Linked DNA regions of Oryzias latipes. The protein of the gene in region 1 binds, or shares a complex with, the protein of each later gene. Links are inferred from orthologs where the notes say so. Each region holds a gene or a part of one and is shown on either strand. Other genes may lie near its edges.

The links. Proteins that work in one complex are often made in the same cells at the same time.
Region 2: the proteins of acadm (region 1) and etfa are in contact, whole or in part, in a crystal structure (PDB 2A1T), measured with the Homo sapiens proteins. The link is inferred for Oryzias latipes from reciprocal best matches to the Homo sapiens genes ACADM and ETFA. Residues at the interface, in NP_000007.1 of Homo sapiens: Pro163, Lys173, Pro211, Gln232, Arg235, Glu237, Val251, Glu253; in NP_000117.1 of Homo sapiens: Arg223, Lys226, Arg249, Asp253, Ala283, Ile284, Gln285, Glu304.

What each region holds. Positions count from the first base shown.
Region 1 is NC_019875.2:3,779,543-3,783,859, reverse strand, and holds the start of acadm (medium-chain specific acyl-CoA dehydrogenase, mitochondrial), read right to left. Parts: upstream 2,861-4,317; 5' UTR 2,749-2,860; coding exon 2,734-2,748; intron 1,096-2,733; coding exon 984-1,095; intron 784-983; coding exon 686-783; intron 565-685; coding exon 495-564; intron 326-494; coding exon 225-325; intron 1-224. UniProt on the Homo sapiens protein: Medium-chain specific acyl-CoA dehydrogenase is one of the acyl-CoA dehydrogenases that catalyze the first step of mitochondrial fatty acid beta-oxidation, an aerobic process breaking down fatty acids into acetyl-CoA and allowing the production of energy from fats.
Region 2 is NC_019864.2:17,580,356-17,583,653, forward strand, and holds the end of etfa (electron transfer flavoprotein subunit alpha, mitochondrial), read right to left. Parts: intron 2,952-3,298; coding exon 2,886-2,951; intron 2,447-2,885; coding exon 2,366-2,446; intron 768-2,365; coding exon 732-767; 3' UTR 510-731; downstream 1-509. UniProt on the Homo sapiens protein: Heterodimeric electron transfer flavoprotein that accepts electrons from several mitochondrial dehydrogenases, including acyl-CoA dehydrogenases, glutaryl-CoA and sarcosine dehydrogenase.

The sequences.
Region 1 (4,317 bases):
TCATTCCTACAAGAACAATGAGAAAAAGCAGGCGTCTGGGTCCAGAGGACCTACTTTTTACAGGTAAAACTGAAATGAAGTAGTTTTTAGTTGTATTTGGCCACTGTTGCAAGACAAGTTCCCTTCAAACGACAGTGAAGTAAAATATCTGTTTGACTGAGCAGGAATCAAAGTTACAGCCAAACGAACGGTAGAGAAAATGTTCTAAAACAAGACAGACGTACTCCCAGAGAATTGGCCTCCATAGCAGTCTGCATCCCTGTGCAGGCGTAAGCCAGCTCCTCTGTGATGAGGCAGCTGTCAAAGATGGATAAGCCCATTCCACCTGACAATGAAGGACACACAACAGCTTCTATCAGAGAGCTTTCATCTGGACCTCAAATGCTGATTAGATTAAATCTTTTGTTTTTACTTTTGTTTTACAGTTAAATGTCCCTCACATCATTACTTCATGACTACATGGGTTGGGTAGTTAACAAAAACAGGAGGAGTACCGTATTCCTGTGGAATGTGACCATTGATGAGTCCAAGCTCCCAAGCTTTCTTGATGATAGGGAATGGATACTGCAAAAACATCCAGAATTACACCCAATACATTAAATATCAACTGTTCAGCATTTACCAAATTAGCATGTTAAACTGAATTTGGGCATATAGTTTTCAGTCTCATCTTTTCTTAACTCACTTCACCGCTTCTGTCATAAGCAGCTGCAACAGGGATCATCTCCTCACGTGCAAACTTTCTGGCCAGCTGCTGGAACTCTTTCTGCTGATCCGTCAGCTCTGAAGGAGGAATCAAGGCGAGAAATGCTTCAGTACAGTCGCATTACAATGACTTGATCCGCTCCAAATGCCGATAAAACTGAACCCAACAGCCACTAAGCTCAGCTATTATTCAAAATCAATACATGGCTAGTAGCATAGGAGGCATTGTTTTTTACTGCCACCTTTTAGTTTTACATTATGTTCTAAAGCCAACTTACCAAAAGAAAACCCAAGAGATCCTGCATTGCTGCTGGAGGCTGCTGCTGCTTTGGCTGTAGCAGCGCTGGAACTCTGCAGACGGATCCCAGACTGTAGACCAGCTCTGAAGACCTTCAAGACACAAGACATCATTGCTAAAGTCACCTTCAAGTCTTTCAGTTTTACATTCAAGAGATCAACTTTAAATGTAAAATGGTGTTTTAGTAACAACTTTTTGTGGCATTCATCTAGTAAGGACATATCCATCCATCCTTCTTCCGCTCATCCAGGACCAAGTCACGGGGGCAGCAGTCTAAGCAAAGATTCCCAGACCTCCGTCTCCTTGGCCACTTGCTCCAGCTCCTCTGGGGCGTTTCCCGGCCAGCTGACAGACGTAGTCTCTCCAGTATGTCCTGGGTCTTCCCCGAGGCCTACGTCCAGTGAGAAACACCCGTAACACCTCTCTAGTGAGGCGTCCAGGAGGCCTCCAGACCAGATGCAAGAGCCACCTCATCTGGCTCCTCTAGATATGGAGGAGCAGCGGCTGTAGTCCAAGCTCTCTTTGGGTGAACCCCATCTCTAAGGGAGCGCCTAGCCACCCTAAGGAGGAAGCTTGTATCTGGGACCTCCTTTCAGTCATGACCCAGTCCCATGACGGGAGTTTTGCTTTCTGACTCAGGACTGTCTTCACCACAATGGTCCAAAAACTAAAACTTCAGTTTTCTTTGATTAAAACTCAAAAAGCATTGGGCCAACCAGTCCTTAATGTCCTGAAGACGTGACAGCTAACTAAAGGTACAGCATCGTCTGCAATCTTTACCCTATAATGCCATTAAAACCCTGCAGTCTGCACTTTAAATGTAACCCCCCCCCCCCCCCCCCCCCCCCATGCATACTGGCATGGGTCTCCCCCTAATCTGCAAAGACCAGAATCAGTACTGCTCTAAGAGTTATTTTTAGATTTTTGGGGTGGATTTTTAGTTAACTTTTCCTGAAAAAATGATTTCTACGTGAAGCAGCTCCAGTCATGGTCACTCCTGTATTACATAACCTGCAGAACATGTCCTCGTTTTTATTTTTTCAAACGTTTGCTCAGTTTTGGATGGATGCCTAAAATAAACAGTTTGATGTATAAAGAAAATAAGTGGTTAACCAGCATTTAATGTAAGGAACACAACATTAAAGATAAAATATCAGTAGATTTAAAGATGAGTCTGATGTTCATATAAAAGGCTCTGACTAGAGAGGTCAGTATACGATTCTTAAGTAGCTCTAACCCAAACACAACAACAACACATTTAAATATTCTGTAATGAAGTTCACATTGACAGAGAGAATTCTTCACATTCAAACACACATACTGTAGATAAAAGGAATGTTTGGCTAAACTCATTTATGCTAATATAAATATTGTCACTGAAGTGAAATGTTGGGGTCGGCAGGAGGTAGCTAGCTCATGATTAAATAATAATAAAAACACAATTTTAAAAAGTTGAATAGCCACCTTCCTAGTTGAAACACTTTTCTAGCCCACAAATAAAAGTTAAACGTCACATCGTGCACTAAATTCAAATAGCAACAAGATGTTTGTTGTTTTGGTCGATATCGTTACCTTTTGCTAGCTAACAGCGTTAGCATGTGACGTAACAACTAAGTTTGTCACCTTACGTAGAAATAAATAAGAAAAGTCCGTCTGTAGGATATCCGCAAGAGAAAGGCTCCATTTACGTCGAACTTGTATAAAGGAAGCCTTAAAAGTGAAGAACCCACCTTACTGAGAAGCATTTTCCTGATGAGCTGCAGCAGACACAAACCAGAGTCGTCGCTACCTCTGCTCTACTTTCAGTGTGATCACCGCCTCTGCCAATCACAGCCGGGATATAGGTCACGTGACACACCTTGGCTTTGACGCGATGCCCTTTATCCCAATTCTTCACCTATCCAACCACCTTCAGCTCCAGAGCTCAGAGCAGGTTAATGTCCCCACTTTATCATTTTGCGACGGAATAAAACAATAAATGTCGTGCTTTAGTGAAGCAGAGAGTCGCAAATTTAGGAATTACAGGATTCTAACACCGTGCTTTTATTTTGAAAGGTTTTTATTTTTATTTTTATTTTATTTTTATTGGGGGAAAAACAGTTGAGGTTAACAATTTGTGACAATTGTATTCAATTATGCCAAGAATAGAAAAGTAGAAAAAGTACAGGACATGTACAAACAACAGATGCAAGATAAAATTAAAAATATATATAACAATAATACAGAAAAAAACTTAAATAAAAGAAATTAAAATTAAAATAAAAAAGGGGGTTACATAGACATTTTAATGATTCTTAACTTTATCAGAAAGCTGCAATTTACATATGATACTTTGAAGTTCCATGGCAAGTTTGTTTTCCATGAAGTTTATAGATGAAAAAGAAGAGCACCACAGTTCTTTATGAAATGTTTTGATTTTGAATTTTTTTTTTTGATTCTAAGGAATGGACATTAATGCATATAGAATTTACCCAAAATAATTACATTTAAAATTTCTGTGTTTTTGTTTTCTTAAATAAACCCAAAAATGACATCCTTAATAGAAAAGTTTGCTAAACAGGGAATCTTGGGGAAAAGCCAACAATGTAAATTTTTCCAAAAGACGTTAGAATAAAAACATTCAAAGAAAAGATGCTCAGTTGTTCCAATATCCACATAACAAAAAGAACAACAGTTTTCAGGAATTCCAACCCGTTTTCTTCGTCATTCCTTGGAAGGGTAAATACCTGAAAATGTTTTAAAGGTATGTAATTAAAACTGAGGAAAAAATGCTAAATTTATGTAAAATTTTTAAGAGGGTCAAACTAAAATAGTCAAAATTAAAATAGTTGCCTAACAACAGGGATTAAAACAAGGTTTACACACATTTTTAAAACTTCAAAGACAAAATGAAAGTAATTAATGATCATACAGACATAAGACACGGGGACAGTGAATAATGTCATCCTATAACCTTCTTTTTTAATTATTCTGTTTTTACAAATAAAAACTGGAAAATAGGCTTCTACATAGATGTTCAGCTTTGAAGAACAGCAATTTAGCCAGTAGGCAGCAACAAACCATCCATCCATCTGTTTTCTTAATCTGCTGCTATTTCCCTTTTGGGGTCATGGGGTCACCAGAGACTGTCCAGGTTGCTGTTGGCTGAAGGCGGGGTACAGGTCAGCTACTGTTGGGCGCCAGTCACAGTGCATGTAATAATTTGCATATTAAGAACAGCTGTTTTTAAAGTTGAAGTTGCCTCTAAAGTCAGAAACAGCTTCGTTTATTCACTTAATTATGTTACTTTGAATTAAACAAGATGTCTATCATCT
Region 2 (3,298 bases), on another chromosome or scaffold:
CAAATGTCACAATGGCAAAAGAAAAAGCTTGGAATCAAGGTAAATGCAAAATTTACAAAAGAAAATGTTTGCCTAGAATTTGATGCTTTAAGCCAGTGAGCAATTCAACATAAAATAGAAATGATCCAGAAAAAAGCCCCAAAATGAGCTAAATAAAAGCTTAAAATGCTTATGTATTAATAGTAGCTGAAAAAGCCATAAAAAACTGCTCCTACATTTTTAGCCACAAGTGTAAATACATAAATAAGACTTTAAAAAAAGAGCCAGTATAACTTGAAGACTAAGAAAAGGGCACAACATTTTAAATAAGTTTGGGTGATTTCAAAACCAAAAATGCAAGCAGGAACCTCCGTAAGACCAATTTCATGCCAGATGTGTTGAAATCAAAGAAGCTGCACTAAACATGTATGAAAGAATCATTGGAGAGTCTCAACTGTGTGAATGTTTTACTCGGCGTTGACACAGTATCACACCATATACTATTAAGAGCAAAAAAATAAAAACTGCCATAGGTTAGTACAGATCATTTATTAGGAATTAAGTATTTGTAGGATATATACAAAAACTGGTATTTCTTTCTTGAAACTACTAATAGTGGATCTTGACGGCGGCATTGGTTCGACGCTGAAACACGCAGCTTCAGGAACTCTTTAAGGCAATGAGCAGGTTTCCTGTTATTACTCTTGCTGAAGCTGTTGAAGTCTGTTGAAGGTTTGGTGGAGCGCGGCTCTTCACTTGCTCAGTGCTTCCGTCATCTCAGGAACGGCCTTCAAAATAAAAATTAAAAAAATGCAAAAATGATTTGCCAGAATCAAACTTTAACATTGTTGCCAAAAAAGGGACCCGTTTTCCATTCAATTTAGCTTCAAAATTAATCAACTAACATGGATGAATAAAAATGTCCATATATAATTCCAGTTAAAAGTAAATTTCTGAAAAAGAATGTTGACTTAATTTGCTATTTTGTTTTTATGGGTGCTAAAGACAAATGGAGGTGTTTTAACCTTTGCTAATGAAAGTTTGAAAAGAAAGAACAAAGTTTACACTGATTTTTCTGAAACCAATTCCCAACTGGTTCCTGGTGCCCAGTAAAGACATTATTCTTAAAATAGACAACAGATGTCATCCATTTTTCTTCATGTTTTCACTGAAGCCGGCATAACAAATATGCAGATGCTCCGTTCATCATTTAAAAATTGGTGCAGCTATTATACTTTCTGGGTCATAGTTTGCTATTTAATGTTTTTGCCTACATTTTGCAGTAATTTGTTCGTAATTTAGGTTGATTTCATGTTTATTTTTTTATTTTTTTCTAATTAAGTTTTCTCTTTTGTGACCACAACTGACTTAACAAAATAAAGCTGATGGCATTTTCTGTTTCGCTAAAGAATCAATGAATGCTGTTTGAGTCCTTTGATGTGTGAGATCACTTTAATTGACCACATTTCTTTTAATGATTGAAACGGAGATTGAAAAACAGCTGAAAACCTACCTGGAAACCCCGACTGTGAGCGTACACAGCTTTAAAACATGCATAATTGATTACTCTTAAGGAGTATTTGGCTCAATAAATACAGTTTAGTTCAAACTGCTTCTGCTATCAGCAAACCCCAGAATAGAATCAGTCCCTGACCATGTTGGCGTGGAGTATCAACTGTCCATTTGGGGGAAAAGCTAGAAAGCCCATCCATTTTAAACAGTTATCCGAGGAGTGGTCACATGTAAGCTGATCCGACTCAGTGGGTCACAACTCCACTGCCACCAACTTATTGCTAATCACTTCCACTGAGTTCGTCAGGACACCTGTGCTGCTCCAGCACCACTCCAGGAGCTAAATAAAACATGAACTACAGGACACACATGAAAATATACCCTACTAGCCTTTCACAGACAGCCCTGGAAGAATAGTGATGCCAAAACCCCTGGCTCGGTGTCCTGAAGTGCCAGCTCATTGCAAGAATGCAACTGAGCGTATAAGAGGTCGAGGCTAAAAATAAAACCGCTTTGACCAAACCAACGAGACGTTTTTAAAACTTTCTTCGTGGCACATTTGGGTTTATTTAAACCACACCGAGTAAGAATCACGCGACTGGGTAACAATCGCTGCTTTGGCCTGCCATGTTGTGACAAGCTGCAGCCAGAGCCTCCGTAGATTCATTCAAGAGCTTAATAATTCAGCAGACACACATTTCCATTGGGTGGAATAAGGCGCCATGCAAAATTCATAAGTGAGCAAAACAAATGTTATGTTTTTACAATCATGCATCCCTAAAGATTAAAAAAAACGTATACATGAAAACAAGTCCAAGAATGGCTTAGTCATAGTCGGTTGCAACAACTGACACATTTCCAGTCAAACACTTGCCTTAAAAAGATCTGCCACTAAGCCATAGTCAGCCACCTGGAAAATGGGAGCTTCAGGATCCTTGTTGATAGCAACAATAGTCTATATGAAAGAGGCAAAAAAAACATGTAAAACATGTCCAAGCACTAACTGTTTCCATATTATTAAATCGTGTGAGATTCATGGATATAGTGTTCTATACAGACAATATTTGGTTTCCCATATAAAAACCTAAAACAAAAAAAAGAGCATAAAGAGTTACATTTAAGTTATGTAGCCTTTCGTACAATTTGTCAACAATACCAGATTTTTTGCACCAAAGGAACAAGTGGAAAAAAAAAGAAAGAAATGTGACCAATTCACTAAGTTGTGTCTAATAGAAAAACCTGATACTTTTACTTGTATTTTAAGCTAAACACATTTTAAGTAAACGACCAATAAGAAAATAAGGAAAAACTATTTTAAAAACAACCAAAATGATCCCTAAATAATAAAGTGTGGAAAATTTCTGTTCTGTCCCCTTGAGCTCCTGTAAATTTACCTTACTATCTTTCATTCCAGCCAAATGTTGAATCGCTCCTGAAATACCAACTGCAATGTACAACTCCTGTCAAAAAAAGAAACAAATAAACAAAGATAATTTCATTCTCTTTAAACTATGTAAAAAAATAAAAATGTGTGTTTTAAGAGTAGTATTGAAGATGAAAGAACAATTGACTGACAGCTACTTTCTCAACAAGGTAAATAAATGTATGTCTGTTTTCTTTTAAATCCCAAATATGTCAGTGTTTTGAGTGTGACATGTTAGGAATAATGCCCTACTAAGTGTCCACTGTCACTTTTTTAATGAACATCCTGCAGCCAATCCAAGTGGAGTATTCACCAGGACCATGGTATATAAAACTATAAGTTAGCTATAACGTAAGTTTTTTTTACTGTGAATTACTATGTTGC